2 linked regions of the Drosophila melanogaster genome follow. The protein of the gene in region 2 purifies or fractionates together with the protein of the main gene of each other region. This does not show direct contact. Each region holds a gene or a part of one and is shown on either strand. Other genes may lie near its edges. The genes, in order: CG14854 and cta.

The links.
Region 1: the proteins of cta (region 2) and CG14854 purify together in Drosophila melanogaster (affinity purification with mass spectrometry, with the first as the bait; one large-scale study listed by BioGRID). This does not show direct contact.

Annotation. Positions count from the first base shown.
Region 1 is NT_033777.3:14,553,743-14,569,251, forward strand, and holds CG14854 (uncharacterized protein), read right to left. Parts: upstream 6,313-15,509; 5' UTR 6,306-6,312; coding exon 6,249-6,305; intron 6,193-6,248; coding exon 6,154-6,192; intron 6,049-6,153; coding exon 5,960-6,048; intron 5,895-5,959; coding exon 5,519-5,894; 3' UTR 5,424-5,518; downstream 1-5,423. Other genes in the region: Jig, read left to right, coding at 7,240-7,716; CG14851 (uncharacterized protein), read left to right, coding at 8,620-9,078; CG8087 (uncharacterized protein), read right to left, coding at 10,612-11,040; CG14852 (uncharacterized protein), read left to right, coding at 12,204-12,728; CG31313 (uncharacterized protein), read right to left, coding at 13,066-13,264, 13,423-13,538, 13,597-13,656; CG8066 (uncharacterized protein), read right to left, coding at 14,665-14,857, 14,922-15,043; Cys (Cystatin-like), read right to left, coding at 15,428-15,509.
Region 2 is NT_033779.5:22,972,180-22,989,214, reverse strand, and holds the start of cta (concertina), read right to left. Parts: upstream 7,400-17,035; 5' UTR 7,018-7,399; coding exon 6,622-7,017; intron 1-6,621. UniProt on the Drosophila melanogaster protein: May play a role in a signal transduction pathway used during gastrulation. Required specifically for the ventral furrow and posterior midgut invaginations, where it is necessary for coordinating cell shape changes.

The sequences.
Region 1 (15,509 bases), on a different chromosome or scaffold from region 2:
GTCAAATTTATGCGTTAGTGGGGACAGCGACACAACCTTAGACAATAATTTTCGCCATGGGAGCGGACAGAAAGCGAACTTGGCTAACACACACACACACACACAACCTTTATCGCCGCCGCACTCGTGTGTTATTTCCGGCAAAAAGCCACAGTGGCCAAGGAAGAATTGGTAGAAGGAAACCGTGTAAACGTGGCCAAAACTTTGCGAAAAATATCGGCGAGTGGCGGCTGAATCGGGACTCAAAATGGCTAAGACGGATAAGCGCCGCACAAAACGGCTAACGGTGAAGTTTTCCCCCCTCGTTTCGTTCTACAGGGAATGTTGTTTTTTCTTCGCCAATGTGGTTTCTTTCCTCAAATGGCAGCTAAAAGTCCGACGACAGCTGTAGAAAAATCGCATGCCCCGTCTTTCCGAAAAAGTAAGTAAACCGATTGGGGGCGTGCCCGTGTCATCCGTCTTCGATAGTGTCTTTTGCAAAGAATCGCAGCTGGAGGAAAAGTTTTACAACTATCCTTTGGGCCAGCTATTAATAGATCGAACTCCATCTTCCCTTTTTGTTTCCACATTTCGTTTACGTAGTTTGTAAGCGATTTTAAACGGCAACGCTGCGTATACGTAACGTGACTTACCAGTTTATGTTTTGTGCTAGTTTTTCAGGCTTCTTGCTGCAAAGATATTGGGAAAAGTAATTAGTTTTCAACAAATTTTGTGCAACTTCTTAGTTTTTAAGTTGTCTTACATCAATGTTGGAAATATAAATAACTATGTATCATTATTAAATTTAAGTCTTAAGAATTTAGTTAACTTTGTTGCTACCATAAAAACGAAATCTAACGTATCTTAATCTTGAACTAACTCGATTTCTTGTGAAATGTTTATTACTATCATATATAACTCACAGTTTCCAATGTAATAAATTATCTAATTCAAATAAGCCCATAAATATATAGCATATTGAAGCAAGTACAAGAGTCAGCTTAATTGGGCAAAGCATAAATTGTCCAAAGTAGACGCCAAATGTAATTAAGTAGACTTGGATTTATAACTAATTGTGTTCTAATTTTGAAAGCAACAAATCGAATTAGTGACTGTTTAAGCTTAGATGGCGTGTCCTTCGCGCTTCCTTTTTTGCGCCTCCACCAAAAGCCTTTCTTCTCTGTTTCAATCAATAAGCAAAAATGATTTTCTCGAAGGCGTTTAAATAAATGAATTGCTGATTAAATGAAGTTGGAGAAGAAAGGAAAGGACAAGCCTTGACAGATGAGTAAAAAGAAGTCCCAGAGCGATAACAAACAATAGGATGAAACGCAAAGGATTCCAGAGAATTTCGGGAACAAAATAAACTTGTAAAAATGGAGGAAGGATGAACGGATAGATAGAGTCCTGTATACTAAGACAAGGCTGGAGAACAGCCGCAGATGCCGACGCGACCAGCGAAATGTGCTCGGAGACACCGTTTTATGGCCAATGATGAAGGACGAAGGACACGGACGCCCGAGAATGGCGGAATAATAACAAAAACAAATATCCGCACAAAAGCCAATGAACGTCAGTCAACGGCAGACGCTATAAACATGGCCGAGAGCGAGTTTTGGGCCATGGGGCTTCCGTCGAAAATGCTCCAGTTTTCCCGCAAAGTAAGAGGCACGTGCCCGGCCCTAAAGAAGCAAAAGAGAAGAAGATGGGCAAACAAGTGCCGGGGAAAATTGCATGCGAAGGGTAATCGCCGAGAACGGGGACTATTTATAAGCGGTCCCCACGAAAATCGGGACTACATATACTATAAATCCGCGCGGCCCCAACCTTATACGCATTTTACAAGAAAAAAAGACAAACAGAATACAGGGGCAATCCCACGAGATTAAGAGCAGGACACTAAAGTCAGGTGCGGTGCGGCACTTTGGAACCTTTTAGCCGGCTCCTCTATTTACTTTACATCCTTCTCGGGCATTTAGCTCATACAGATCTTCATTAGAGGTAGTCGAAAAACAATTGCTGAGTTAATGGATCTCAGACATAAGGTTTATGCTTTAACTCGAGTTATTTTGTTTAAATTAATACACCTATACTTTTAAAAGCATATTTGTGATATGTAATCACACAAAATACATTTGAACTTTACAAATAGTTTCTTTATAAACTAGCAATGGTACTTCATAAAGATAATACTCACATATAGCTGTGCCAGACCAATAATTAACCTAATTGGAGTTGTTGAAAGTTGTGAAAAGCCCAGTTTATGACCCTTAAAGCTCCTGTTCACTTTGAAATAACTTGTCACGCTCGCTGGTGTGACAACAAAGAGACAGCAGCAGACGGATAAAGCCGGATAATACAAGGACGAAAGTGAGTCAATAAATTTTGACAACATTTTTGTAAAAAAATCCACCAAGGGGAATCTGCGGGAGAGTGGCCAAAAAGAAGAGGGTATTAAAATAAAATAAAAGACTTGCTCAGTTCAGTTGCTCTTCGGAAAAGTGCGTGTGGGTCCAGGAGATGTTGGCGAGCGAACCGTTGACAAAGTCAATGTTGTTCATAAAAAACGAAAACAAAACTTAATGGATTTCACAGACACTTTGGCGGGTCTCCAAAAGGGCGGCCGAGAAGAAAATTGCGCGCGCTAAGGAAAGTGGCAAAATGCGTTGGAGCAGCACTCGAATAATTTGCGTTAGGTATCGCACGTCACAGGAAAGTTTTTTGGGCCACGCACAGTCCTAGTTGCTACTTTTCTGATTCCCCATGGAACGACCCAAAAAAAGAGTCTAAATTATATTTTTAAGTGTCCCGACTTTGGGATATCCGTTTGAGAATATCAAAAAGTGGCCCAAAAACGCTTATTCTAAGCATACATTTGGAATAATTAACAAAACTTCATTTTTCTTGCAAACTCATTACCATATTTCATAAGATAGGAATCTTAATACCTAAAATGAATATCTAAATATAACATTTGCAATAATATTTGTTACATTCTGCGATTCAATGCAAAAAATTGCTGTAAATATTTCTAGCTCAGGCTGAGGTAATTGTAGAAAATGTGCTAATCTGAAATAGTCTTAATTGTTTTCTACAAAATCTCATTGTAAATTATGGCATAGTAAATGTCCAACATGTGGGCAAATGCATTCATTCTTGAGGTCTGCGGATATTGTCTCAAATTTGAACGAAAGATTCTTTTGGGTTGGCAACAAACTAATGAATATACTATTGAGATATATAGTATATTGTTCGTATGATCTAGTTTTCCAAATTTCTAACAAAATATAAGAGAAAAAGAAATAGGTTATACATTCTTGGCCTCATAAAGTGCTGAATGATAAAAGAATATGTGGTAGTAAAATTCAACAGCACATGTTTATCAAATTTTCAGCTTCTAATTCTAATCTCAGCTTCGTTTCGGCTCGTTTTGACTCCAGAGCTTCTGAAATTGGACATACCCTTAGCATCCACCGCATGATGGGGTATTAAAAACTTGCTAAAAAGTAACGCTCGCTGGTCCCCACGCCGCTAATTCTAATACGTATGACATTCAAGGGTAAAATATTTCATAATTCGCACATTTCTGGGGGATTTGGGGAACGCTAATAATTGCGTGCGAGTGTGTGGGTGGATGAGGGCTCCCATATATTTAGCTGGTGGCGGTGGTATTTGCGGTGGTATTTGTGCTGGGGTCTGTGTTTGGCTTCGGTTGGTTTTTGTTTGTTTACTCAGCACTCAGCTGAGCCGGAGGCCCTCGAACACACACAATCGTACGGCTAATACTCACCTAAGCACACACACTCTCACGCACTCAAATGCATTTTCTTTTCACTTTGGTTTCCCATATACTTTGTGCTGTTTCTTTCTATTTTATTTTTATTATTATTTTTTTTTTTTTTGTAGTACGTTTTTCTGTGTTTTTTGTCGCGCTTCGTTTGCTGATAACACGGCTCGACTGGCGCTTCGTTGATAAACGGGGGGGTGGGCTGCGATTCAGACTGGAAATTGCACGGCAAAGTAAATAGCAAATAGTATATTTACGCGCCGCTATACATTTTTAGTTTCGCCCTTCGAATTACGTTTTGGATTATGCAAAAAGCGGGTTGAGTCGAACTGAACTGATTTCGATTTTATCCTGTGACTGTTTTACAACCGGCGGCAATTCCGTTTGCCGCGAAACGCGCACGCACTTCACTACTGAAAAGCAGCTGCTGCTCCCAGCTGCTGGGGGCGTGGCAGAGGGCGCGCGGGGCGGTGGGTGGGCGGGCGTGTCGAGAAACGGCCTTGCCCGCACGAGCTACGCAGCACGAGTACAACTTTAGCACTGAGCAGATAATTCTGTGCGGCACGGGACCGGACCGTCACTGTCGCCAAACACAAATAACAATCTATCTCGGGGAGAATCTCTCTCTAACTCTCTACTAAGGTGCTCTCACCGCCTGCCCAGCAATCTCTCTGGCTCGGTCTTTCTCTATGCTTCTCCGAAATTTTTGTGGGTGTGCAGCGTTTTGGAGCTTTTGTTCCTGCTCCGGTGCTCCGATTTCGCTGCTCCAGTTCGCCTTGGCGCCCCGTTAACAACTGAAAACCGAATTTATACCGCCAGCAGCAGCAGCTGGGCTTTGTTTACTGTTATTTGGCACAAGCCTCTCGCTCTCTTTCTGTCGGAAAGAGAGTTTTCTCTGTCAGCATTGAGTACAGTGGCTTAATATCCAATGTTGGCGTTTTTTTAAGTTTTCGGTAGTAAAGTACTAAGTACTAAGTGCTAGTTAGTTACTATACAGTATTTTGTATTGAATACGTGTAAAATATTTAGTTGTCAATAAATTTTATTTTTGTTTGCAATCTGTCTGCGGTTTGATCCATATAGCTTTAAAAAGTTTGTAATAGGTGGAGAACAATTTTAATTGAATAACTTGATTTTTGTATTTTTGCCGTAATATGCCCACTGTGCAGCGTGGGATCGGCGCAGGCGCCGGACTTGGCCTGGTCTAGTCTTTTGGCCGTCAGTTGTTGAACTAAAAGCCGCATAGTTGTTGCTGTCAGAGCTTCCTAACTCAATCTGGGGAAGCCGTGACATTGAGTAGCCAAGGGGAAATGTTAGTAGACATTGGAAGTAAGCATAATTTTAGGCGCTGTTTGTTTGACTTGTAGTCAAATATGAGTAATACTTAGTTTACAAGTTCTCCGATGATATAAATCAGATGGTTTTACTTTTTTAAAAAGAGTGCACTTTCTCTGTAAAGCTCATTAATTTATAATAAACATTATCAACCCCATCTACAGCAAGCCAACAAGTCGTATACGCAACGTACAAATTGCATTACTCGTTTATTTGTATAATTTAGTTTTTAAATACTTAAAACATAAAAATACGTGAAAATTTATAAGAGTTGAGATATTTAAAACGGATAATTGAATGTTAAAGAAAATTAATCTCAATTGCACTTACTTATGCACTTATTTTACAATTGTGCGTTTAATTGTCTTTTAAATGTCGAGATGAATGAACAAACCGCCGGATGACATTGCACCCCACTCAATAAAATTCACTTAATTTGGAGCTAGCCGGCTCCGCTGTTGTGGTCTCCGCTTGACCAACTCCCTGCTCCTGCTGCGGATCAGTCTCCCCCTCAGCATCTGCATCCGGATTGTCTTCCGCTTCCGTTTCCGGCTCGTCCTCCGCCACTCGCGTCCCATCGTCACACACGTTGATGGGCTTGCGCTCCAGCAGGGGGCGTGGCAGGCGGCTCAGAAAGGCCGAGCAGTAGGTGCGGATGTTCTCGCACTCACCGGGATTCCGCTTGACCACAAACGCACACGTCTGGATGATGTCATGCAGCGTATTGTCCATGTACTGGAACACCAAGTGCTGCTCCTCCGCCTCGCCATGCGTAACCACTTTCCCATACAAACTGCCGGCGGTGGAAATGAAAAGCCAATTAGTGGAACACCAAACACGCGCTAAAGTTCATCTCACCCAACTGGTTTTCCGGGAATATTCATTTCCACCTCCTCATATTTGCCAAGTACATAGTCGAATCGCTCTTTCGCATCGCTTTCCTCCATCTGTGGAACAGAAAATAAAGTGTGTTTAATCAGGAGGACTAGCAACTATAGATTGTGTTAGTTCAAGTTAAATTGTGTTTTTAAATAGACCAGTATCATACTCACATCTTCAATGCAGTGATTGGGCGGAATGCAAATCGTAAACTAAAAATGCATTAAAAAATTATAGGGTGCAAAAACAATTTACACAAAGTACTTACCACATTGGGTAATGAAATAATTCCCAGGCACAGCAGCAGAGAGCTAAACAAATCCATGGCTCAACCGTTCGCTGATCAGCTAAAAGCGAAACTAACTGAAAAATCAGAGCTGGTCAGCGCATCTACGTTAAATTGCGAAATATGAATTTAAAATATTCACGCTCATTGTTCTCGCTTCGCTTGGATGTAAGATGTGACGTCATGATAATTATAAAATAAAACAAAACAACCAAACAATTGGGAAGTCATAAAGTAAATCTTACACGCGAATCTAAAATTTAAACATATTTTGTACTCAAATAAAATTTTGATACCCGCAAATAAGGGAAATTAACCCAGTGCGAGCTTAAAGTGCAAAATACTGCTATTAACTTTCTGCCTGGTAGTTTTCTGCATTAATATCTGCCTTTATTTTGTGCCTGGCAAATGGAAAGCTGCATAAACTAGCATTCAATTATGTATTATAAAAAGAAAACCTTTGGATTTATGCCATAAAAGCCATGAATCTAAAACAGGGGATTATTGTACCTAAACAAATAGCATATTAACTATTTATGGACTTGCATCCGCCGCACTTAACAATCCCAAATGATTGAGATATTTAATGGACTCTGAAGATGGGACATCCCTGTGATGTACCTTTAATAACTTTAATAACTACGCCGATCAGGGTAAGTTCTGAGTGAAGAATTCGGAGAAATAAGCCAAAAGTCGATAGGAACAGCTGAATAAATTTGGCAATTATTTGTATAAGATAAACGTATTGAACAAGTATATATTTCCAACAAAAGTCCCCACCAGCAGATGACAATTGGTTAGCTATCATCTTCTTGTACAATTATATAGATACAATAGATATCAAAAAAAAACAATCATTTGATAGCACCAGTTGGGTAAATTTGCATATATTCTTTGGTTTTATAAGTCACCTGGAATCATCACAGCGGTATATAAGACCGTGCTACCATCCGAAGACACCATCAATCTGAAAATGAGGGCCACATCGATCATCTTATCAGGAGTTCTTGTCCTGGTCGCTTGCCTATTGAGGAGTAGCGAGGCGGTGACCTGCACCGCCGACCCCAATGTCACTGGATGCATCGACTGCACCACCAGTCCAAGCGATCCGGAGTGCGTGGCTGAGGCCGCTAATACCACTACGAAACCCGCAGATGGAACAGATACCACGACACCCACCACAGGAGGAAGCACCGATGCGACCCCGGCGGGATCTACAACGCCTACTTCGCCAAGCGGCACTGTCACTCCAGCTCCGACCAGCTCACCTAGTGACTCCACGTCGCCCAGCGACTCCACACCCACTTCAAACAACGCGGCTGCTGTGGCCAGAAGGAGGAGGAGGATGGCGGCCAGGAGGCGCGCTCAAAGGAGGAGGCGTGCACAAAGGAGGAGGGACCAGAGGAGGAGGAGGGCCCAAAGGCGCAGGAGGCAAAACCAATCGGGCTAAAGCCAACATTCGATTTTATAAAATTTAAAAAAAAATACTAAATAAAACCTATATTCAGCATCCAACAACAAAAATAGTTTGAACAAATTTTTAAGAGTTCGCTGTGTAGAAATAAGTATATTGTCTTCAAACAAAGGAGAAAAAATATTATTACAAAAATTAAAAATATCTCTTCTAATTGGTACTTTAACGACAACGTGAAGTATATCTCTTTGAAAAAATTTTTATTGGGTAGTTAATAGTTTCACCTCAGAAATACATAATAATTAAAACTTTATTTTGATAAAATCATTTGTTTTATGTATAAAGAAAATCTATTTCACAAATAAGTTCAAGTCTATTTCTATTCTAAAATAATTTTGAAACCATTTAAACTAATTGTATTGTACAACAAACAAACACAACCTTCAACCGAAAAGCAAAAAACTATCCACAGATGGCATTGATCATCTTGTGGGTACACATTCAATAGCAAATAGTGTACAAGGCAAATATTAAAGAAGAAGTCATCCATTTCTAATAACATACATACACTTAGGAAAAAATTCACCATTTTTGACAAATTTTAAGTCATGTATATTTCGAACTGATGAGAGTTTTATCATATATGAATACAAGTCAAACCAGGCTTCAATCAGATAAATTAAAATATACTCATTTTCTATTCTTGAGTAAATAGGTGAAACTAGTTCATTTCTCAACTTGGATTCACAGCCGATAGTTTACGATTTGGCAGCAAACAATGTCTAATATTTTATATGATCGTATAGAAACAGCTGCGTACATATTAGCGAAAATCGCTAGATAGGAAGAGCGCCCCTTGACCTCGATCAAGCCACTATAAAAGCCTAACCAAAATCCGACATCACCATCAATCAACAATCCCCAATCAACAAATCCACTATGAGAGCAGCAACTATCATCTTCGCCATTCTCGTCCTGGCAGCCTGCCTATTGAGGAGCAGCGAGGCGGTGACCTGCACCGCCGACCCCACCGTCACTGGATGCATCAACTGCACCACCAATCCAACCGATTCCGAGTGCGTGGCTGAGGCAGCCGCCGCCACATCCACCACAACCACAGTGGCTCCAGCAACGAGCACCGTTGCGACCACCACCACTGCGCCAACGACATCAAGCGGAACCGGAACCGGAAGCCGAAAGATCGTCCGCGTTAGCAACCTGCGCTACTCCGTCAACCGTCGCATTCGGATCAACACCACCGCTCGATCCACCAGCTCCAACGGCCGCTCTGGCAGGCGCTCCACCAACACCAACAGGAACCGCAGGCGCAGGAATAACAACGCCAGGCAAGGCAACTCCAGGAGCAGTCGCGGAAACGTTCGCGTAGTAGTTGGTTAAAAATGGTTAGAATGTTTACAATTGTAAAACTGTTTATCAAATAAATATATTTGAAAATTAAATCAAACGTTTGTCTATTATTGTAAAACTGAGAAACCCAATCGAGTGATTAGATTTTATTAAAATAAAATTACAATTGAAATGGTTGTTTTCCTATTTGAATAAAGATATATACATATGTAGATATTTCATGATGATATAAATAAAAAATTATATTTTTATAAGAACCAATGATAAACTGATCTTTTAATTTAATAATATCTCTTATTTCAAATTTACAAGTCGACGTCTGATCTACTAAAATAATGGGTAATTCAAGTTGAGTCAAAAAGCGTCATCCAAAAAGTATGCTATATGTCTTGCCTTGAACAGTTCTACGATTAAGCACTACTAAAAGATCAACACAAAATCACAAAAATTAAATACCAACTCAAGAAAACCTTCTAGGAAGGGCAGTTTGGAATAAAAAGGGATCTTTCAGAAATAGCGCAGAATTTTATTTAACAATCAAAGCTGTAATCTATTTGAAAATGAACAACACTTGACCTTTTTCCAGGGAAACGTTCACTGACCACCATTTGCGGTGGGGGACTTCAAAGTGGTACCACCAGCCACGCATTCCGAGTTCAAGGGATTCGCGATTCAAACGACTTTGGAGCTGAATCCCTCGGCTAAGCCTTCCACGTTGTTGGTGGAGAAGGTCATGCATCATGGTGCAGTCGATGCATCCCACGACGGTGGGACCGCTAAGATGCTTTCCAGCAGGCAAGCTGCCAGGATCAAGACTCCAGAATAGAAGATCAAAGCTACTCTTGCAATGTAGTTGATTTAAGTGTTAGCATCGACATTATATATGTATATATATAATATATATATATATATCATATAGCATATCAATTAAATCGAATTATTGACACAGCTGTTTCGACTTTTTGCATTGTTTTCTCCTGTTGTTTGATGAGAATTTAGAAAAATATGGTCTTACATTTTTTTTTTTGGCTATAAAGCTTTGTTATTAGAAGAGAGCATTATCTACTTCTCCAACAGGTAAATACATTTAAACCCAATGTTACCGTTTTTCTTAACTTTCATAACACTGTTTCTACAAAATAATACCTATCTTGACCTTCTATTTGTAAGACAACAGAGTTATATAATAGTTAAATTACCAATTTTTAAAAAGTTTTTATAGTTTTTTTTTAATGTTTTTAAATTTTTGGTTTCCCCTGCTCAATAAAGTTCAAAGTTCTGTATGTGTGATGTGTTATTTCATTGGGTTAAGGTGAAGAAATCGTCAATAACTCCTTAATATTATAACGTACCCAAATGTACCGTCTATAATTTTAAATGCTCTATATGCACTGGAAATTTCTCTGTAACATAACGCATTTTAAAATTGGTAAGATTTTGTTAGAAGCTAAATCCCTGTTATACCCAGCCAAAAATTGAATACTTCCCAGAAAATTGGATATAAAATAAAATTTACTTCTTCAAATCCATATCTTGTTGAGCATTTTATTGAATTCCGCGTACTTAGCCGACAACAATAACGTTTCCATTGGCCCGCCTCACGTTGACACGTCTGGAGTTGTTCCTGCGCCTCCGATTCCGGACGGTGGTGCTCCCCGATCCATTCCGGTTGACGCGGATGCGCCGAACGTTGGTGTAGCGCAGATTGGTGATGCGCACGATCTTTCGCCGTCCGGAGGAAGTGTTTGTGCTGGAGGCCGCAGTGGTGGTCGCCGTCGCTGATGTTGTGGTGGCGGTGGTGGTGGGCGTTGCTACAGTTGTACTGGTTGTATCGGCGGCTGCCTCGGCCACGCACTCGGAATCGGTTGGATTGGTGGTGCAGTCAATGCATCCTGTGACAGTGGCATCGGCGGTGCAGGTCACCGCCTCGCTGCTCCTCAAAAGACAAGCGGTGAGCACGGAAACAACGGCTAGAATAGTAGTGGCCTTCATCTTAGACTTTCAGATTTTGGATTGCAGATGGTTGGCGGCAGTGGCTTTTATAGGCAGTTAATTCCACGCGACTTTTGTACTCAAAGATTATTGGCAAATTTACGCAGCTGGTTCCTATACATTTTGCATTATTTTCCCATATTGTTTGCGAAAAATTCGCACAAACGATGGGCTGGAGCAATACACTCTTATACTTCGTACAGATGTATTAATGATACATGTATTAATGATACATACAACATAACTGCGTATAACGATTTTGGCTTTACAAATCTGAATGAAATAAGTTCAAATACCGAATTTAATAAATGCAATTATTTTTAGGAATACAAATTTTTTTAACTATTACGGATTTCCAGAGTATATTGGGAATCACGAAATAATTTAAAAGAACATGGTGGACTATACTAAATTTTCTCGACTAACAGATACTCGTTACTCAGCTAAAAGAAGAACAGTGGTACAGCGCCACCTATGGGGCAGAAAAATTGATTGATAACGACTCTTTAAAAGGAGAATAAATCTTTATTTATTAATTTCTTTTTATTTTAAAAATAGTCATGAATTTACGCAGTTATAATGAATTAACAACAACAACTACAAATTGTCCTTTGGCAATTTGGTTAGAAACTCTTTTCTGCTTAGCCATCATTTTGACAGTTTGGAATGCGGTCCTAATCCATAGGAAATGGCAAGAAAAATAATAATCAAAAATTTCATGACCGTTTTGCCAAATATTGAGTATTGAGAATTAATTAATAGAAGCCTATTTTAAAAAGCGCCTAAAATCCAGCTGTGAAAACAGCGCCATTCTACTAACTAACTTCTTAGTTGTGTACCGATCAGCTTTCGATCAACGCGATATTGTACTAGATCTTGATGTTGTCCGATATGAAATACGCGATGCCGCCTGTATTTGGCTAACCAATGTCTTAATAGGAACGAAAGAACGAATTTATTAAATAAAAGCTTTTTGTCTAATTCGCGTGGTATTTGGGCAGCTGTCGGAATTCGGTAATACGAAAAACTTCTTTTCAATCGATTTGTTGTCACAGCTGTCGACCATCCTTACAATGGTACCAAAGACTGTACAAGAGGTATAAAAGCATAGCAATCATCTCGAGATCATCATCCAAGCCCATCCATTCAAGGCAATACCAGCTATGAGGACGACCACTCTACTTTTGAGCCTTGGCCTTCTGGTCCTGTGCTTTTCCAGCTACAGTTTTGCCGAAGACGATCCCACCGATGGAAGCACAACGCCTACTGATGGAAGCACCACGCCCACTGATGGAAGCACCACGCCCACTGATGGAAGCACGACGCCCACTGATGGAAGCAACACGCCCACTGATGGAAGCACGACGCCCACTGATGGAAGCACCACGCCCACTGATGGAAGCACCACGCCCACTGATGGAAGCACCACGCCCACTGATGGAAGCACCTCCCCATCGACCTCTCCTTCAACAGGCGATAACACTAGTCCTTCAACAGGATCGCCAGATAGCACCCCCGATTCCGGAAGCGGCAGCAGCAACAACAGCGGCAACAACAAGCGGAACAACCGTCGGAGGCGCCGCCAGCGGGCTCAACGCGCTCGACGTCGCCGGGCTCAGCAGGCTCGGCGCAGGAGGAACCGTCGCAATAACAGGAATAACAGGCTAAGCAGAACCAATAGCATTTAATTTTGTGCCTACAAAATAAATGTATAAATAAATTGCATATCCTAAAGAAAGTTCGCAAGTATCGCCAAAAGATCGGTTAAGACGTCTTGGGTTTGGTTTTTGCCTTCTAGCTAGTTATTCACACAGACGTGATAACATTTTGTTTTAAATATAAAGAAAAACTGGTTACTGCACAATCCGCACAAATTAATTATCACAGTTCATGATATAAGCACAATCATTTCTGGGAGTCACCGGAGTAGGCAAGCTTCGAAAAATTATTGTCCCATTTCTCAAGCACCAGAGATTGCACCTTTATTGTATTGCAAATTGTATGGTTAAACACAGCAATGACGCCCTACCAGGTCTTCTCGAGCACATCTTCATCCTTGCACTGGACCTTCACATTGGTGGCCTCCCCCTGCTCATGCAGCCATGGCCTGTCCCAGATCTTTACGTTGCACTCCTTGGTCTCGGCTCCGTTGGACAGCTTCACCTCGAATTTGTAGAGCGACCCAGCCACCAGTTGGCTAGATGCCGAGATCACATTCACTACCCTGAAACGAGCATGAACACTATTTTAAAATCTCTCATTCTTTTGTTATTTCTAATCAAAAATAAATCACGTCATGCTTTAATTATATTGATAAGATTACACTTGTTCTGTTGCCGTTTATCATCGAAATTTTTCCAAAATTAATTACCTTATACTTACTGATAATTGGGACCATCTCCTGTGGCAAGTTTGGCGAGCGTTGTGTCCAAGAGCTCCTTAGCCTTGGATAAGTCATCTCCATCCAGCGGCTTCGGGGCACCGGGCGGCAACCTCGGCTTTTGTTTTGACAAGTCAGGCAAATATCAAATAATAACAATATCAGCTCGAACTCACGTTAGCAAAGGCAACCGCCAGGGTCACAGACAGAACAAAGATCACTTTCACGGACTGCATTTCCCTCGAAACACTTGTTCCAAACTGAGCAAACACGGCGCATAGAAGACCGCTTTTATAGAGGAAACCGAGATCATCGGATTGCTCGCCGAGAATATATTGTATGTATATTTATTTATTCGCGATCAACGCCAACCGGCCCCCAAAGAAGGAGAGGCGCCAAGTAGTGTGCACTCAAACCTGAAACCGCTTGTTTTGAATCTTTTTTTTTACTTAATCTTCAGTTTATTGGTTAATATTTTACTTTGGTTTTGCACAGGCCTGTCGTTTTGTGATATCATTTTAATTGTTTGCCCAGGTCAGGAGCATTAACATTGTATGGACTAATCATTCTGTGTGAGTACACCTTTATTTGAGTCAGTCGTTAGCAAATGTTTAAAGTTTTCATTTCTACTTTTCGAGAGATAATGATTATTCAATGAAGGTTGATAAGAATGAATATATGACTTTAGGGGGTGGAGTTTACTGACGCTTTTAGTTTAGTTACCAGTTGCCAGTTGTGTTTCTGATAAATTACTAATGTCTATTGTTTTCGAAAGGTCTTCTGATTATTTAAAAAAAACAAGCTTATTATCAGCAAGAAAGGGGGAATTATTATTTGTAACATCCACTGACACCGCTGATGACGCCCACGCTGACTAATTAAACACACACAATAGTTGAGAGAAAAGATAATACGATTCACCTATTGAGATATATATATTGAGATATAAACAAACTGGTTATGCCAACAGAACTGGTTAACCAACATCGGAACAGTTTTATAACCTACTTCACCGGCTTGTACCTGAAACCCAAGAGAACCTTTTCCATCGGATCATGTTTTAATGTAACCAAATGTACACAAATCCTCCCAGATAGTAAAGGTAAGGCTCTCTTCTGTACGCTACCTGAGGTCGCAAGAATATGGTTCCCCCCTAAGGGTATCTATAATTAAGTCCAGTATATAACATATGTATAACATTTAAGATAAGAGTTAAACTGTATGTAGGTCTAAGGTAAAACCTTCTACCAGGTGTGGTCCAGTTCGTCCTCACCCGGGAACTTGATCTTGATGTTGGTGCCGTTCTCCTTTAGCCATGCGCGACTCCAGATCTGCACAGTGCCCTGTTTTATCTCGGATCCATTGTCCAGCTGCACCTCGTAGGTGTTGAGTCTTCCAGCTACGACCTGACCCGTCACAGAGGTTACATTAAGTGCCCTTCAATTGGAGTAAAATCAATTAATAAGTGGCAAGCTCTAGACCGAGTTTAGCCTTAACTCACTTGTAGCTGGGTCCATCTCCGTTGGCCAACTGTGCGAGGGTGGCATCGAGGAGTTCCAGAGCCTCCTTCCTCTCATTCCCCTCCAGCTGACTGATCCCGCCTACAATTGGAACGTTGGACATGGCGGCGATAGTAGCAAAACTCAACAAAACCAAAACCAAAACATGAAATGATATCACTCTGTTCCGTTCCGATTGTGAGTCAGCTTCTGGAGCTTTTGTTGGAGTGAAAGCTTCTATGGTTGTTATCTCAATAAATATATAGTATCTTATATATGTATATGTATAGTATGTGTGTAATTGCCTAGCGATGGGAATTGGTTAGCACGGAACGTAAACAAAGCAAATCAAGTATTTATACACTCCTATTATTTTTCCCAACAATATATTGGATACTTTGCAACAATAGTTCCCCGAAAATTAATCAAAAATCATTTTTTAAATCACGTGTATCTTGTTTTTTTTTTTATTATTATTTCTTTCAGGGCAATTCTCACGAAGAATCTTCTACCAGGTGCGGTCCAGTTCGCCATCGTCACCAGAGCACTTGATCTTGATGTTGGTGCCGTTCTCCTTGAGCCATGGCTGA
Region 2 (17,035 bases):
AAAAATGTATGCAGTGGTTTATCGCTCCTTCTCTCCCAAATATTATCGCTTCGCAGACTGCTGTCAGCCTAAACGCTATTCTGTTAAAATAAATACTTTTTGCTTTACGGAGCTTTAAATGAAAAAGATCTTGTTATTCTAATGTCTTTGGTATTAGCTCAAAAAACTGGGTTCGGAAAAATCGAATTTTTGAAATTTTAAAGCTGGAATCGTTTGTGCATTTTTGCCCACCAATTAGTTTTTTCACACGTCCAGTTCACAAGAGTAAATGGGTATACTAAATTCAGAAGGCAGAAGGAAGTAATTGCGACCGTATACTTTATACTTTATATATATTCTTGATCAGGATCAATAGCCGAGTCGATCTGAGCCATGTCCGTCTGTTCGTATTAAGGTCGATATCTCAGGAACTATAAAAGGTAGAAAATTAAGATTTTATTGCAGATTCCAGAGACAGACGCAGCACAAGTTTGTTGCCCCGCCCACTCTAAAGCCCACAAAACTGGCACGCCTACACATTTGAAAAATGTGTTGCTACTTTTTAGTCTTGTAAATTTCTATCAATTTGCCAAAACTTTTGCCACGCCCATTCTAACTCCCTAATACTGCCCAAAACGTCCACGCCCGAAACTTTGTTTTAATATATGTCGGTGCATAATTTTGTAAGCTGGTGGATGTGCTAGAATATTTCACAAGAATAATAATTCCATCAGTTCGGGGAAATCATTGATATTTGCTATTGGTCGGCTGTATTTTTGTAGCTTTGGCATCTCCCGTTACAGCGCGGCGGCAGCGTGTGGTCGCTGTCGCCGAGTGTGGTTCGAAGGGTAGCACGGAGAAGAAGTGAGTGACACAAATTAATTGTGTGTAGACCTTCGATGCGTTCGAAACTCGCTGCGCGACATATACAATACATATTTAGGCAAACACATCGAACAAATATATGGAACAAAATCAAAACAATATAAAGCTAATATAATATAATTAATATTAATATTATTAGTTATTTAATTTTAAACAATTCAACAAATGTTTCAGTCTTATTTCTTAAATAGTTTCGAATATATAGATTAAAACAACATAATAGGAAGAAATGTTCACTGAAATAGCAGTGCTATGAAAAAATACTAATAAAATTCAACATTATTTAGAACTAACTTAGTTTTCCTTTTTAATGTGTGAATTAGGGTCTAATGTCTTTGTTTGCCAGCACAGCCTTACACCTACGCGGCATGGAGTCCACCAGGTCCTGGCAACGTTTGGGGGTAATTTTTGCCTACATTTTATTTTGGGTAAACCGATCTGTTTACGTGTTTCGGATCGTTATCCAGTTGGAATGTCCATTTTAAGGAAATATTGAATTCAGTATATGACAGTAGGACATCACTAAATATATTTACATATGCGTTTTGGTCTATAATACCATAAATCAAATGTTTTGGACTCATAACATTGTAAAAAGAAAACAAACCCATACCAGGATTTTACGTCCACCATGATTGAAAGTCTTGAGTGGGTGTTTTGGGTGGTACTCCGTGAGTGGAGGTCGTCGGACATACTATGGTAAACCAGTTCCACCAAATAGCACTATTTTTGACTCATCAGTCCAGTTTGACTGGCCAGTTTAGGTAGGTTTTAGAGAAGTTTAACCGTGCCTAAATATGCCTTGGGCTATGTAGGGGCGCCATTCGTGGACTCCTCGCACTTAAATTTTGATTTAGTAGTCGTCTCCAAATTATACCATCTCTGATTTCCCAGTTCAGCTCAGTCTTTACGTCCCTAGAGGATGCAAAAGGATTGACTTTGCTGTAAGTAACAATGCGTCGATCCTCTATATCTGTGGTTGTACATATGGAACCACGGTTCGGGCTTCAATTCATATTTAATGGAATTGGAATCAAAGATTTTTCGAATTTATTTATGTTTCCCTTCCTTTCTTAGCTTACTAATTAAAATTCTATTCTCTTGGGAGCAGTGCTGTCCTCTACACACTAAAATAGAATTGTTTTTATATATTTTCTTTAATTTATTGCCCTTTTAAATATTCAAATTAACGTAACCAAAATCTCTGTTTAGAATATATGCTTAAATTCTTGACTTTACGTAGGTCAAAAACTGAAACTGCTATTCCAATAATGAACAAAGTTGTAAATTTTGCTCAAGAATGTAAAGAAAATAAGTAAAACATGAAAAACAAACGGGATTTTCTTTTTTTTTCTATCTACACATTCCATTTTACAAAAATAAGTGGAATAAAAAGTCGATTCCGGAAAAGGACATGGGAAAATACCTGTGTATTTATTAGTTTCTCTTGCGCTGCTATTTCATTGAACACAGGTGTATATGGAAAAGTATCCTTTGAGTGAGTTGCTGCTGGAACTAAAGTGCCCATTTTGTATGTATGTACATTTTCGTACTCTGCGAAAGTAAGAGTAAGCAGAAAAGCAAACGACGAAAGGTATAGAAGCATATTTCCATACATAGGTACATATTTCCATCTTTGTATTTAATTATTATATTTTTATGTTGTTATTATTATTAATTATTCACAATACAGTTATGCATATATTGTCTTGCAGATGATCGCCTACATTTTTTTTATGGTTTGGCAAACGTTTTTTAATGCTGATATTTAATTTATGAGTTTGGCAAACGTATTCTCTGAGTATACCGATATTGCCTTTATATGTATTTTCTAAAGTACAGCTTTTTTCAAAATTCTAAATGGTGGGCAAACGATGTTATTGTGATTGTGAAAAAGTCAACTTTTTGATTTTCGAACATTTTTAAACCTTATCGAAATTTCAAATTCGAAAACTGGACGTGGGCAAAAAAAATTGGTGGGCAAACGATTTCAGCATTAAAATTTCACAAATTTGATTTTTCCGAAGCCAGCTTCTGTTTAGGCAAGCTGTAGGTTTTGGCTAGATTTAAACAAAGCGATTAATACATACTTCTTATATCATTGGAGAGGGTTTTTTGATTTGTTTAAACGCAGGTTACATTTTCTACCATAATTATTTGATATAAAGTATATACACTGCGCGTCATCAGATTAGCGCCCCTGCATGGCTCCGTTTCTTTTTATGTTCTGTATTTAGCCATTGCACGAAAATATATCAATGTTATTGTTTTTTGTTTACTGATACTCCCTCTCTCTTTGAGTATAAAAAAGAGGTCCTGAGAAGAACCGTTATCTTTCTAATTCTGCTTTGTTTTACTTTTGAATAACTTCCATAATTTGAAAGGTAGGTCAACAAAGAGACAATGTTGTATGCTGTTAAGTTGAAAAATTTGCTCTAATTTAGCGAAAAAATAAGAAGAGGGACGCTGTTATCCTTGCAGGAAAAATTCGAAATCATAGCTTTCTTTGAATGCGGGCTGCCTTTTCATAAAATTGCAGAAAAAACCGACAGACATCTCAAAACTGTAGACAATTTTATTAAAAACGAGCAAACTTATGGAAAGAACTATAAAAGCGGCAATAACCTTGTCTTTAACGCGGCAGATCGCATGTCCATGTCGAATACATTGCAATTCCCACGAGTCCTCCGCCAAAATTCGAAAAAAAAGTGGTGAAAAGCAGTTGAAATCGTTAATTCAAAGGGTGATTAAGAAAGCTTATCATTTAAAACACGAAAAACTGCAAAAAAAAAAAACAACTCTTAATAAGTTGCGAAAAAAGCACGCCTGAGTTTTGCTCGAGCTCACATGACCTGGTCTAAGGAGTGGCATTATGTCGAATTTTCGGACGAGATGAAATTTAATTTGGAGGAACCAGACGGCAATTGTCATTACTATCATGATTTGCGTAAAGAGGAGCACATTTTGGATCTTATTCACAGTCGGGTTGAAGGTGTCATGGTATGGGGCGCAGTATCCTATTATGTCCCCTGTGATTGGAAGTTTTTAACACCAAAAATAAACACGAAAGATTATAAGTGTGTATTAAAAACTGCATTTCCCTACTTTAAGAACGTTTTTGGAAATCTAGAATGGCATTTTCAGCACGACAATGTCCACACGTTCGGTAAAAACATGGATTCGAAGCGATAATGTAAAAGTTATGGAATGGCCACTATACTCCCAGGACCTTAATACAATAGAAAACGTGTGGGGATGGTTGGCTGGGAAGGTATACGAGGGTGGTAAGCAATATGTCACTCAAGAGAAATCGATCACCGGAAAAAAGTTCGGTTGGTCTACGATTACTTTGGATTACCTAGAAAAAATATATGATTCACTTCCCAGACGAATGTGTGAAGTCCTTGAAAACAAAGGAGAAGCAACTAATTATTAGTTTTCTTTAAAAATATTAGATTTTAAACATTTAAGTGATAATCATCTAACTTTTTTCGAAATTAATAAAAAAAAACCTAAATTGTCATAGGGGCGCTATCCTGATGTTTTTTTTCTGGTGTTTTTGTTTTTCTTTTTTATTTCAACAAAAATCTATAAACAACAAACTGCATCCCATATAAACTTTTCATTTATGAAATTTTACAACTTTTAAGGGAAAAAATTTCAAAAACTTTCGCTTAAGCAGTTTTCTAAATGTCTCACATCAAAGATTTTTACTCAAGGTGCGCTAACCTGGTGAGGCGCAGTGTACATATGTATATTATTCATCAATATGAACAAGCGAATCGAAATATTCATGCTTGTCCGACCGTTTCTAATCAAACTAGCCTCTTGTCCAAACCTCTTCTTTCCATTGCACGAAATATAAGAGATGGAGCAAGATTTATATTGTTAATTTGTTTTATGAATGGATTAACAAAATATATGTGCAAAAGTTTGTGTTATGCTCATAACCGAATTATCGGTCTAAAACCTTGTTCGTTTCCGAGAAAAATCGACTAACACGTCAAAGTAGAAAATTAGACCTGGTTGGGGCCGGTGAAGAAATTCCATGAAATATCTTCAATTGTTTTTTCAAAAACAAGACATTTAAAAACATTCCCTGACTCACCCAAAGTAAACTCCTTACCCTTTCTGTGAACAAGAAACTATTACCCTTGAACAAGTCATTGAAAAAAACTCTGCATGCTTATAAAAAACAAAATGTTGTTCTTGAATGGAGATTTATTTTAAAAAATGCCTATAACAATTAAGTCCGTTTTGCAAAAGTATTTGATAGACTGTGCCTGGCAAAAATTTTGTAATGTGGACCATTATAATGTTTTTTAAATGATGATGCAGCGCGGGCCGGGCTTTATTTCAAGGCCCGCGGGCCTTTGCCAAAAAAATTGGGTTCGGGCCTCAAATTCGTCTTTCGTGCCCTAAGAAAAAAGCCCGCAGGCAGAACCGAAAGTTAAACTTGTTTGTCACAATCTAACAGGCGAGAACATCCTCAATAACGTTAAGGAAATTATGGAAGAATACAGTTTGGATTCTAATATCGATAAATCTATTTTGTTTGTGATCGGAGAAAGTATTAAAGATGTGCGCCAGTGAAATGCTCGATTCTGAAACCATAATTCAGCTGAAAAATAATACGTTAAATTCTTTACATAAAAGATGTGCACCATAAACGGCACATTATGTTGGACTCTTCTTAAATTCTCCCGTTAAGGAAATGTGTTGCTTATCGCCAAAAGTTAAGGAGAATGTAATTGTAACTGTCAAAGCAATGCTTTCAGAAATGCAAAGTGATGAGGAGTTTTATAGGATTAAGAACTGCAAGCCCAGATAAAAAGGGGTTAGGACTGTTTGCAGAATTTCAGGATTAAAAATTTTTCAAAAAAACTTAGTTACAACTAAATTCTTATGATATTGAAATAGAAAAATATTTAAATGGCTGTGCAGCTACTTCAGACCAAAATGTGTTAGAATTTTGGAAATGTAGTGAACTCAAGTTATTGAATTGCCATTCCGGCAAGCTCAGCGAATAGCAAAAGATTATTTTCTACCTCTGGAATTGTATTAAATGAGCGATGTACACGTTTAAAATGTTCTAATTTAAAAAAAAAAATATTTTTAAATAAAAACTTGTCATAAATTATGTTTAAAACACCAAAACTGTACTAAATATTAAGTTTTTTGCAATCAACTTTGTTTACAAAATATAAGAAATATAAATATAAGAAAACCGACATACTTTAAATTAAAAAAAATTGCATTGTTTTTATTTTTTAATTTGTTCGTGTTTAGCTTGGGCAGGGCCCCGGGCTTTTTTTGGGACTAGGTTTCGTGCTCGAGACGGGACGGGCCTCAAGAAGTAGGAAGTCTTCCATTACCTAAGTAGCGTGTATCTTATACTTGCGGAGCTCACAACTATAGGATTTCTCTTGTTTTTATATTTTTCGGTTACAAATATATAGCGCTTGTTGTATGTATGTATGTATGTATGTACATATATACTACTCGACCGACTTGCCTAGTCCTGTTAATTAAGAACACATACGTATAATTCTAGAATTGTTAGCAAAAAAACGTAACTTTTTAAATTAAATATATGCTTATAACATTGTACAGAAATTACATTTTAAACACATTATAATTTTTCCGCCATTGTACATAGACTTTAATTTGTCGAATATCTCCTTTACTTCGTTGTTAACATTTAAATAAAATAACCAACAGCAAGGGTTAGAAATCGATATCCCTAAATCACCTTACCTGACGTCGAAAGGTGTGTTTTTCTTTTTCCAGGAACTTATCAATCTCTTTGGACTTGTAGCGCTGCTCCAGTTCCTCAGGGGTACTACGCAGCCTTACTAGATATGTGATAATATTTCCGCAACATCGAAAGCAAGCAAAGCGCGAGGTCTGAAGCCGACTGCCCTGAAGTCGCAGTCGCTCTGCTCCATTCGATATTAGGCCGTCTGTAGACGTGGTCGCTGCTTCTGGTCCAGTTACCGCTCCCACCCGCGTGCGATGCTCTTCCATAAGATGAGTCAGAGTACCACTAAGCGTGTCACTATCTATGTTGTTTTCGACGCCGTTCGTGATGACATTGTTGTTTGGAATGGAAATTCGTTCTTGAGTTAATTTGGTCAATGTAATGCCAGACATCGCTGGCAAGCCAACGCCTGATGCTCGCACTTTCTATATACACACACGAACACCAATACGTCAAACACTCCCCACACTAACAGCAGATGCTCATCGTCTTGCTTTCGCTTTAATTTATAAACAAACACTTTTTGAATTCTGCATATTCTAATTGTAGGCCTCATATTAGATTAAAAGGCGATGTTGCCATCTGAAAGCCATAACCATTATTTCTACATGGCATCAGACTTAAACGCAACACAAATTCCGGAATAAAGTTCACACCAATAAGACACTGAACGTGATCGTTATTAGGTTATGACACTCTCAGCCATTACATTTACGTTTCTTTAGGAATATAATTGTAATTATATATGGAGCAAACAACAGCGGTGATAATAATTTTTGCCTGTATATAAAACATAAACATTCGTGTCAACTTTGTTATACCATGTTCCCACAGATCAGTTTTTCGGTGAAATTGGTTCCATATGTGAACCAATTTGACAATATTATAAGCAACAGGTCCAGCTCTTTAGTGTAAAGAATTATTAAAAACAAATTATTATATCGGGTTTACCAGGAATGTAATTTATAATTTAATTTTAAATTTTAAAGCATATAAGATAAAAAGAAAATGAGAAGAAAATATTATTCTTTAATTGGGAACAAAACAAATCAGTTACAATAACATTAATAAAAAAATTGGTTGTAGAATATTTCTTTAAAATTAAAACTTTATTTTAATGAAGTGACTTTTGGAGAGGGCACGTTCCCTTATAGGATGACCTGTATGGGATGAAAATTAAAAAAAAAAAAACATTTTTAACTTTTGCTATGGATACAGTAGCATTGATTGGTTTAATTCGCATTCTGTTTTATTTCGATATTAGGTTGATCCAATACACTAAAGCTAGGTAAGATTCAAAAAATATTTTTATATCTTAATCTTAATATCATGGCCATTAGCTTACATAGAGAAATAAATAAATAAATATTTATTCCGTTTTGCGTGCTCGCCACCTGTGTTTAAGATTTTTGGAATTCGTTTAGATTCTTTGTAAGGCTGTCAACTAATTAAAGCTAAGCTTAATATTGTTTAAGAGAGCTGGGCAGAAGGCTTTATTTCGGAAGCGGTGATCAGACTTGATGACAGCGTACTGTACTTTGCATCCGTCTTATAGCCCGGGGTGCAGCATGGCCGCCCTGGACGGCGGAACTACCAGGGTTCGAATAAACAATGTCACATCGAATTCAAACATTTTACACAATGTAATTCCGCAAGGTTCGCCAATTTCTGCGGTTTTATTTATGATTGCAATTGAAGAAATAAATAACATTGTAACTCGGCAAAAATATATTTACATCTCACTTTACAAAAATAAAAAATATTCATACAGTCAGCACAAAATTTTTAGAAATATTGCACGAAAATACCTCTCTGCCATTGAAAAATGCCAACTATTATAATTTGACGGAAAAAACGTTGTAATCTCTCCGCACAATAAATGATGTAAACTTTTTAAAAAATTTGGGGATGACCTTCGACTGCAAACTACTTTTCAAACAGCACTGTCAGATTCAAAGAAAACAACTGGAAACTAGATTTCACATTATTAAATTTCTATCATCTAAATATTCGTACATATAACTAAGACTCTCATAGATATTACGATTACGCACGCATTAATGCTATTTAAAATTGACTACCGTCTTCCAATCTGCGGCAGGCTAAGTGTTGGCGACAATACAAGGACAAAAGCAGGCTAAGTGTTGGCGACAAAAACAAGGGCAAAGGCAATGCTGTTGAGATTGGAGTGTGAAATTTGCTTATCAAATGGGCAGAGTTTATATTATGGGTTGGATAACTTGGCGGAATTCCGCGTAGAAGAAACTACATTGATGCTAATCTCGAAGCTGTACACCACGTCCAACTGCCTGCTAACCCATGACTTCGGAGCCATTTTCAAGCAAAAGCTGAATTTTTAATGCATATCCACTCTAACACGTTGCGCTGACTACATCAAGCAACTTGACCTCACCCTGCCTATGCACATTGGGGTTTCAAACAGCCTTCAGATCTACAAAGCTGAAAAAAAAGAAAGAAAAAGAAAAACTGAATTAATACCAATGGTTCTAAAGTCAACGACTCAACCACTTTTGTGGTCACCTTACTCTGGGTTCCCAATCATCAAGGAATCCACGGACTCGCTGACAACTGACAAACTCGCTGACAAAGCCGCCCAAGAGATGAGACTTACACCATCAGCCCTTTTGACTCTGCTTAGCTGCAAGGATATCCAAAGCTATACCTCAAAGAAAAGAGAACTCTCCGAATGGGCACTCTTAATGCACAGTTACCAGATTATTAAGCCAAATTGGATCATGTTCAAGCCACTACCGAACGTACAAGTTATTGCCCTACAGTTTGAGCAAAGACACTAGAATAACAAGATGCGTAACGGCCATACATTGGTTTGGCACTATGCAGCCACTTTTTTGGTGACGGCCAAAATTGCTCTCTTTCCGCTCGCTCACGCTGAGAACGTAAGAAATCTAAAAATAGAATTTGCTTGCTTGTGTGAGTAAAAACAAGAGACGGGAACGCGTATATGTGTGCGTGTTGTGCTAGAAGACGATTTTCGGGCCGAAATCAATTCTGATCGAAGAAATGAATTTACATTGTACATATTAGGGTAGTTTTTTTTTTTTGCCAATTTCGTAGCAATATGATAAAATAAAATAATTTTTAAAAATTTGCGCCCTGACAATTATAATTTTAAAGCTTTTTAAATTTGTTTGTTAAAATCGCCGCTCGAATTAGCTACCGTTTACACATTTATATTTATGTTTAATTCTAATTTGTCTCTCATCTGACAATTTTTTATAAGCGAAAACAGTGATGAAGTGCTCGCCACAAAATCTTCTGTAAATTGGCATTTTTCCGCCCATCTTATTAGCATTGTTGGATCCCTTTCAGGAAATCTAAACAATTTAAGAGCGGGGAAATCGCGCCTAGATTTCCGATAGTGGGATAAGCTGCACTTGTTCCCACTTATGTATCTTCTTTTTTTCTTGGCCATATCCATAAGATTATTCAAATGGGCCATTAAAATGTTTTTTTCTTTCACTTACAATTTATAAATTTCAACTCAAAACTTTGTCGAAAAGCAGCAGCACGTTATTTTAGCGCGTCAAATTACGAAAATACGTAAACACTATTCACTATTTATCACAATTACTATTTGCGCTTATATTTTTTTTCGTACTTTACTTTTGCAACAAAACGACTTTAGTTCAATATAAATTCGATTATATAGCGAAAATATCAAAAAATTGAGGAGCTCTGCGTATAGCCAACTTTAAGCAAACGGGCTAAGAGAAATTAAAAGGAAAAACAAAAAAAATTGGCGCGCTTTTCTTCCCACCCGAAATGGCGCGCTTTTTAAAATTATTGAATTGGAATATAACAAAAAAAAAAAACATACTGAAAAACAACTGAATCTAATGTGCATTTTAAATAATAAAAATGGATCATTAACATACATAAATCATATTAAGTCAAATGACTTATTAAATATACTAAATAATTAAAGGAAGTAAAATATAAATTATTATAACTACTGTAATTAAAGATTAAAAATTTTACAAAAAGAAGACATTACATTGAGAAATAAATAATTCATAAAAATAATACAAAGTAGAAAATAAAAATTTGTAAAATAAATAAAAATATGAAAACTTTTTATTGCAAAAGACACTAGAATTATTCTTTTGAGAGGGGAGGATGGTCGAGTTTCCGAGACATTATCGTTAAAAAAATCGGTCTCCCCTAATAGTGAAGCAATAGAAGCCTTCAAGAAATTAAAGTGCAGTTTGGTTTCTGCAGACGTAATACTCCACTACCCAGACTTTAAAAAAGAATTTCACCTAACAACGGACGCTTCCAATTTCGGAGTAGGCGCTGTTCTTTCACAAGAGAACAGACCAATCTCATTTTTATTGAGAGACGGAAGAAAATTATTCCACAAATGAGAAAGAAATGTTATCCATTATGTGGGCTCTAAAAAAGCACAACATTTACTTTTACGGTAAAGCAAAGGTGAAAATCTTTACTGACCATCAGCCTCTGACCCATTCTCTGAGTAGTTCGAATGGGAATGCGAGGACTTAAAGATGGAAAGCATAACTTGAGGAATATGACTATGAGATTTTCTATTAACCGGGCAGAGAAAATATTGTAGCCGACGCTCTGTCCAGAGGGCCGACAGTCGAACAGATAAACACAGTAGCCTCATCAATGCACCTCTCCGATAGTTCGAGCCATGGGCTGATACGTTGAAGCCCCGATAAGTGCAATCAAATTTTCTTCAGGAAGTCCGAGTCAGAGAATTACTCATTCAACATTCCATTCCCTACATAAATTGTTCACACCGGTTAGTCTCTTGTCAGATTTGAAGGAATATCTCAACCCATTCGTGATTAATATCCTCCGAGTTGTGGATATAATGGGGAAAATACAAATTCTCTACCCTATCCATTTTCAGGGTTTCAAGATTAGATTCTCTCAAACTAAAGTTAAAGACCTTGTTAACGAAGCCGAACAGGAGGAAGACATACTTAGGACACACAATAGAGCACACAGAAATGCTGTGGAAATTAAAGCTCAGTTCTCCGAAAGAATATACTTTCCTAAAATGTGGAAAAAAGGTACGGCTATCGTGAGTCAGGGTTTGGTGTGTAAGACCGCGAATATGACAGACATCTCACACATTCAGAAATAAAAGAAACTCCCTTGCCAGAATACCCCGGACAAATCCATATCCATCTACTCGACAGAACGACATCTGGTGCTCACGGCAATTGATAAATTTTCAAAACTGGCTATGGGAAATTACATTAAAAGCTGTAGAAGACATTAGGAGAGCCTTAAGAGATATCGGGTTTTATTATGGAGTGAATTCATGTTGACAGGCCAGCTGGGCCTGGAACATCTCGATAGAGCCATCTAAGAGCCACTGTTCACTCTGTCACAAAAAAACGAACCCTAGAGGTGTTCTTCGGTAGGATAGCTACCGTGGCTCCGGAAAAGTACGAACAAGCTAGACTGGACAATATAGACCGAATAGGGTTAATACAATGTTAGGTACTAAGCTATCAAGTAGATTTAGGAAGGAACTAGTTAAGACTTCAAGCAAGGAAGTACTTCAATATTAACAGAATCAGGAAAATTAGTACTTAAGCAAAAACATTTATTGCCCTACAAGCGATTCTCTCACATCTTGTGTTTCTTCATTGATTCTGGGTAAACAAAAGTGCCCAAAATGCTGAGCAGAAGTCTGCACAGTCTCCGCTGCGGTTAACGAACGGTTAAAGTGCCACATCAACACTTCTCCGCTGCGCCGCTTCCGGCGCCTCCACTTGATTGCTAGGGGACTTAGGGAAATATTTTGTATGTTAGTTTTAGTTTCAAATTATTAGGGAAATATTTTGTATGTTAGTTTTAATTTCAAATGATCAATTACAATAACGGGTCGCTTGCAATCTACAAAATTAAAGCAAGCTGTAATTATTAACTTACATAAACGGGAATGCGCGACCTTCATCCGCCTACACTATACACACATAAACACATACTGACGAAAACGGCGCGACGAACATGCCATCTAAGCGGGGATGAGCTCACCGTTGACCATATTATATTCTCGACGCCTGCAATCGATTGCACTCAATTAGATCGCTATTATTTGGTACACAAAGTATTTCGAAAAGTTTAAGTACCACTGTTGTGAAAATATCCCAAAAATTAACCAAAACCCTGTAGCTATCTAGTACTCATTAAATTTAATATATTTAGTATTGCATACTTAAATTTGTTAAATAAATAAATACATAAAATAGCTATACGCGTTAGAGTAGGCGTGACAATAACTTGTTTGGCACATCGGTAGAATTGGCAAAACATATAATATGAAGGGAAATTTAAAAACATGATTTTAAAAAAGTGGGCGTGGCAGCTTAGTACGGTTTGTGTGCGTTCGAGTGGGCCAGCTTTCCTAGGTATGTGCTAGTCAAAAAGTGCTATCAGTGCTATATTCTATAAGGAACGTTACGGGATCAACGTTCTTACGAATGATAACGTATGTCTGCTCTCAGACTGTTTTGTTAAAGAGTAAAAACCCTACTGCTACTATTATGTCATTGCGGGTTTTCGGTGGTCTCGATTGACTTTTGCCTTGAGCATCTTTTCTTCGACTTGTGGATTGACCTCCAATATGCGAGACATTAGTTCTTTTTTTGTGGTTAACTAGATTAGTATTTTAGGACTCTTTGTTTGAGATCGCAAATTACGCATTTAAAGTTTTTGTGAGGCAAATTTTACTACTGTCCGCGGCCCGTCTTGCGATCAATTTCCACTGCTTTCGACAGAAATTGTGTCTTGCACCACACTCACTGCACTGTAGTCGTTTTTCACTTTTTTCGAGCAATTACATATGTAACTTAACGAACAAAATGTTTGTTAAGAAAAAAATTAGAACACAAAATGGGTCTGCTTCTGATTAGAAATGGGTTGAAACTGATTTTACAAATTTAAGTTTTTCCCTAAGAAAGCTGTGTGAGGTAGCAGACAATCGGGCAATGCAGTCGCAGCGGCAGCGGCGATGCCTTCGGTAGTAGGGCCCGGCTTTTGGTGCATTGGAGGGTTTTGCATTGGTTGCAATATTTTCCTGGAATTCAGAATGCTAAGAATATAGGTAGTAAGCATTGTGAAAATGGTGCGAGCGTGGCGGAAGTGAAGCAGACGCCTGATCAGCGGGTTTGTGCTGTTAGCACAATTGTTGGTAAGCGTTGGAAACGCTGAGAGCGTCGGTAGCGAGCGTTGCTGAAATGGGGCGAGCGTGGCGGAAGCCAAACAGACGCTTGATCAGCAGATTTGTCTTGTTACCAAAATGTTGTAAATGAACGTTGGGAATTTCGGGCGAGCGTGGGGGAAATTAAAGAGACGCTCGCTCGGCAGATTTGTTGTTGTATGGTTTTTGTTAGTTAGTTTTGTTTTGTATAGAATTTATTCTTAACTTTTCCCCCTTTAATTTGCGATTGTCCTCGAGCGCTTTTTAGAAGAATGGTATGTCGTTAATATTGAGTGAGGATTTCGTTCCTGGTTTTTGGAGGTTGTTTATTGGCGTGGGAGGTGCCATTTGTAAGAATTTTTTTTGTTGTTTCTTCTTGTAAAGGTATAACACACAGATTATTAGAAGGCCAATGCAGATAATAGTTACGGCGTCGACACCATGTGCTGTAATGCGAAGCTTGTCTGTCTTTTCGGTGTTATCGATGTGCAGGACCTGTAGAGTCTGTAGAGATACTATTTTTAGTCGCTTGCTTTCTTCTGGGGTAATGTTTTTATAATTGTATTTTCTATGTTGTTGAATGTTTTGTTGTCAATTGATATTGATTCGTTCCAAAAGTTGATAAGGTACGCACCCACCAGGTTTTTTTTGATTTATTTTGCTGGAAAATCAGGGTCCCGTTTAAGTTGTTGAGCATCACGAGGCCGCTCTTCTATTTGCTTGGCTTGGTCGGCATTGCTAAACTCACACAGCAATTGCTTCCCTTTAAGGAGCCTAGGCAAACATGTTCTATTTCTAAGGTTTACAATATTATTCTTATCGCATATCTTAATATTATTATAATCTTTGCAAATTTTTATAATTCTGTACATATTTTCTTTACTTTCAAGGATTTCTTCCAATTCTGTATTGACAATTACGTTATTTTTAATGATTGGTTTAATTAAATAGTTCTGGCATTCCGTTTCTTCAAGGTTTGGAATTTTGACAACGTAAAGAAGTGTTGTTTTATTGTGTAATATTGATACGTCAGAGAATTCTAGCATTTCTTCTATTGATAGGAAGATAGGGCATGTTTCCGTCTTTAAATATTTTGTCTATTTCATGTATCTCTTTTTCTCCGAGTAAAAACGTATTTATTAGATTTAATTTAGCCCATTGTATGGCGTATTTGATGTTGATGACTTTTTCTTTAATCAATCTAATTTGGTTCTGAAGGCTAATGGCAATCTCACTACTAAACCTAACATCTTTTTTTATAACGTTTGTAATGCCGTTAGTTGTTGTCGTAAGGTTGTTTATCCTTTCTTCTAATTGGGTCTTTATAATTACTTATTTATTGTTATTTGATATTATTTTGTTTACATGCTCTTCAAGTTGACTAAAGTCGTCATGGTCAGGGCTACCTGTAACATATTTCCATGCTGTTCCTATCATATTTATAGCCCTGGTACTTCGTTTGTTAAAAATAGAAGTTATGGTAAGGAAAGTTAATTATGTTTGGTCTATCTCATGGTGTAGGGTGTGATAATGGCTGCTGAATTTTAAATCTTGTTCTGTATGAAATTTGAGTTTGTCTAGAGTTGTTTCTTTTTGATTTAAATCAATGACATGGATGATTCTCGTTGTTGACGTTCGTATTTTGCCTATACCCTTGTAAATGGTTATCGTTTGTGCGTTGGTATAGTTAGTGATCCGTTTGTGCCAGTTACAATCCATATTAGTAGTAGTCTAGAATTAGATATTTTTGATATTACTTTTATGTAGTTTTCTACCTGCTGTTGTTATTATAGTTGTTTCGTGGTTTTCTTTAACAGTTTCCTTTTTATACCTAGGCGACAATTTGGATCCTAGTCTAGTATTGATTTTGACGAATATTTCGTCAGCTGTATGTTTATAGAGTTTTTCTATTTTTGTTATAATATTCCAAACCGGTTTTTTGCTTTTCTTTGAGTCGGTCAATGTTATCTAGTCGATTTTTTTCGTTGTTCTGGATCAGTCGTGATTGTTTTTCTGAAGAACATTTGAACTAGTGGTCGTTGATTTGTAACAGAGTGGAATGTGTAATTGTATTCATAAATTGCTCTTTCTAAAAGTTCGTCAAAAGTTCTGTGAATTTTATCTTTTTTAATGACATGCATTATCTCTGACAGTGTGGGATCGAATCTTTCGATTTGACCATTCACTGTGCTTTTATAAGAAAGGACAGTGAAAATTTCCATTTTGAGTTGATCTGTGAGCATGAATTTTATTGAGTTTAGGGATTTTTCGTTGTCCATGAAAATAAGTTCTGTTCTTTACAGGTTGTGCATTGTTTCACTAAATCCTATATTTTTGTTTTATTTTTGGAAACTAAAATGTTTCGGACAGTTGAGTTTTATTCTCTGAGGCATTGCGATGGGCTCTGTTATGTGTCTCTTCTTCTTGCTTTTCTTCGCCTTTTAAGACTTGTACTATTTTTTGTGAAAATCTTATTTTGAAGTTATTGAAGTGTGTAGGGTAGATAGATTCGAGTTTTCCCATTATATCTTCTGTAGTGTTGGTGCCATTGATAACCGAAGGGTTGAGGTATTTCTTTAGAATTGACGTTAGTTCATTAGAGTCATAGTTTTGTCGGTATATGTCATGTCTATGGAATGTGGGTAATGGTATGATTAATTTGTAATCTTGAATTTTTGCTTTATGGATGAATATTTGGTTTTTAAACACATTAATTGGAGCTTTCACACTTGGTTTTAGGTTGTGGCTAGAGCTTTCGTCACTGTGTTGGGTACTAACTGAACTAATTGAATTTAACTCGTTTGGATTTGTTATCCGAGATAGGGCATCTGCTACTATGTTATCTTTTCCTGGCTTGTACAACAATTCGTAGTCAAATTCCTCAAGATGGACTTTCGGTCTTTTAATTCTAGGGTTTCCATTCCAATTACTCAATGAAAGTGAGAGTGCTTGATGGTCCGTAAATATTTTTTCTTTGGCACTGCCATATAAATAGTTTCTTAGTGCCTTAAGGGCCCGTACTATGGCTAGCATTTCTTTCTCATTAGCCGCATAGTTTTCTTCTGCTTTCGAAAGCGTTCTGGATATGAAAGATATGGGTTGATTGTTTTGGGATAGGACGGCACCTATTGCGAAATTAGATGCGTCTGTGGTGAGGTGAAATTCCTTTCTGAAGTCAGGATACTCTA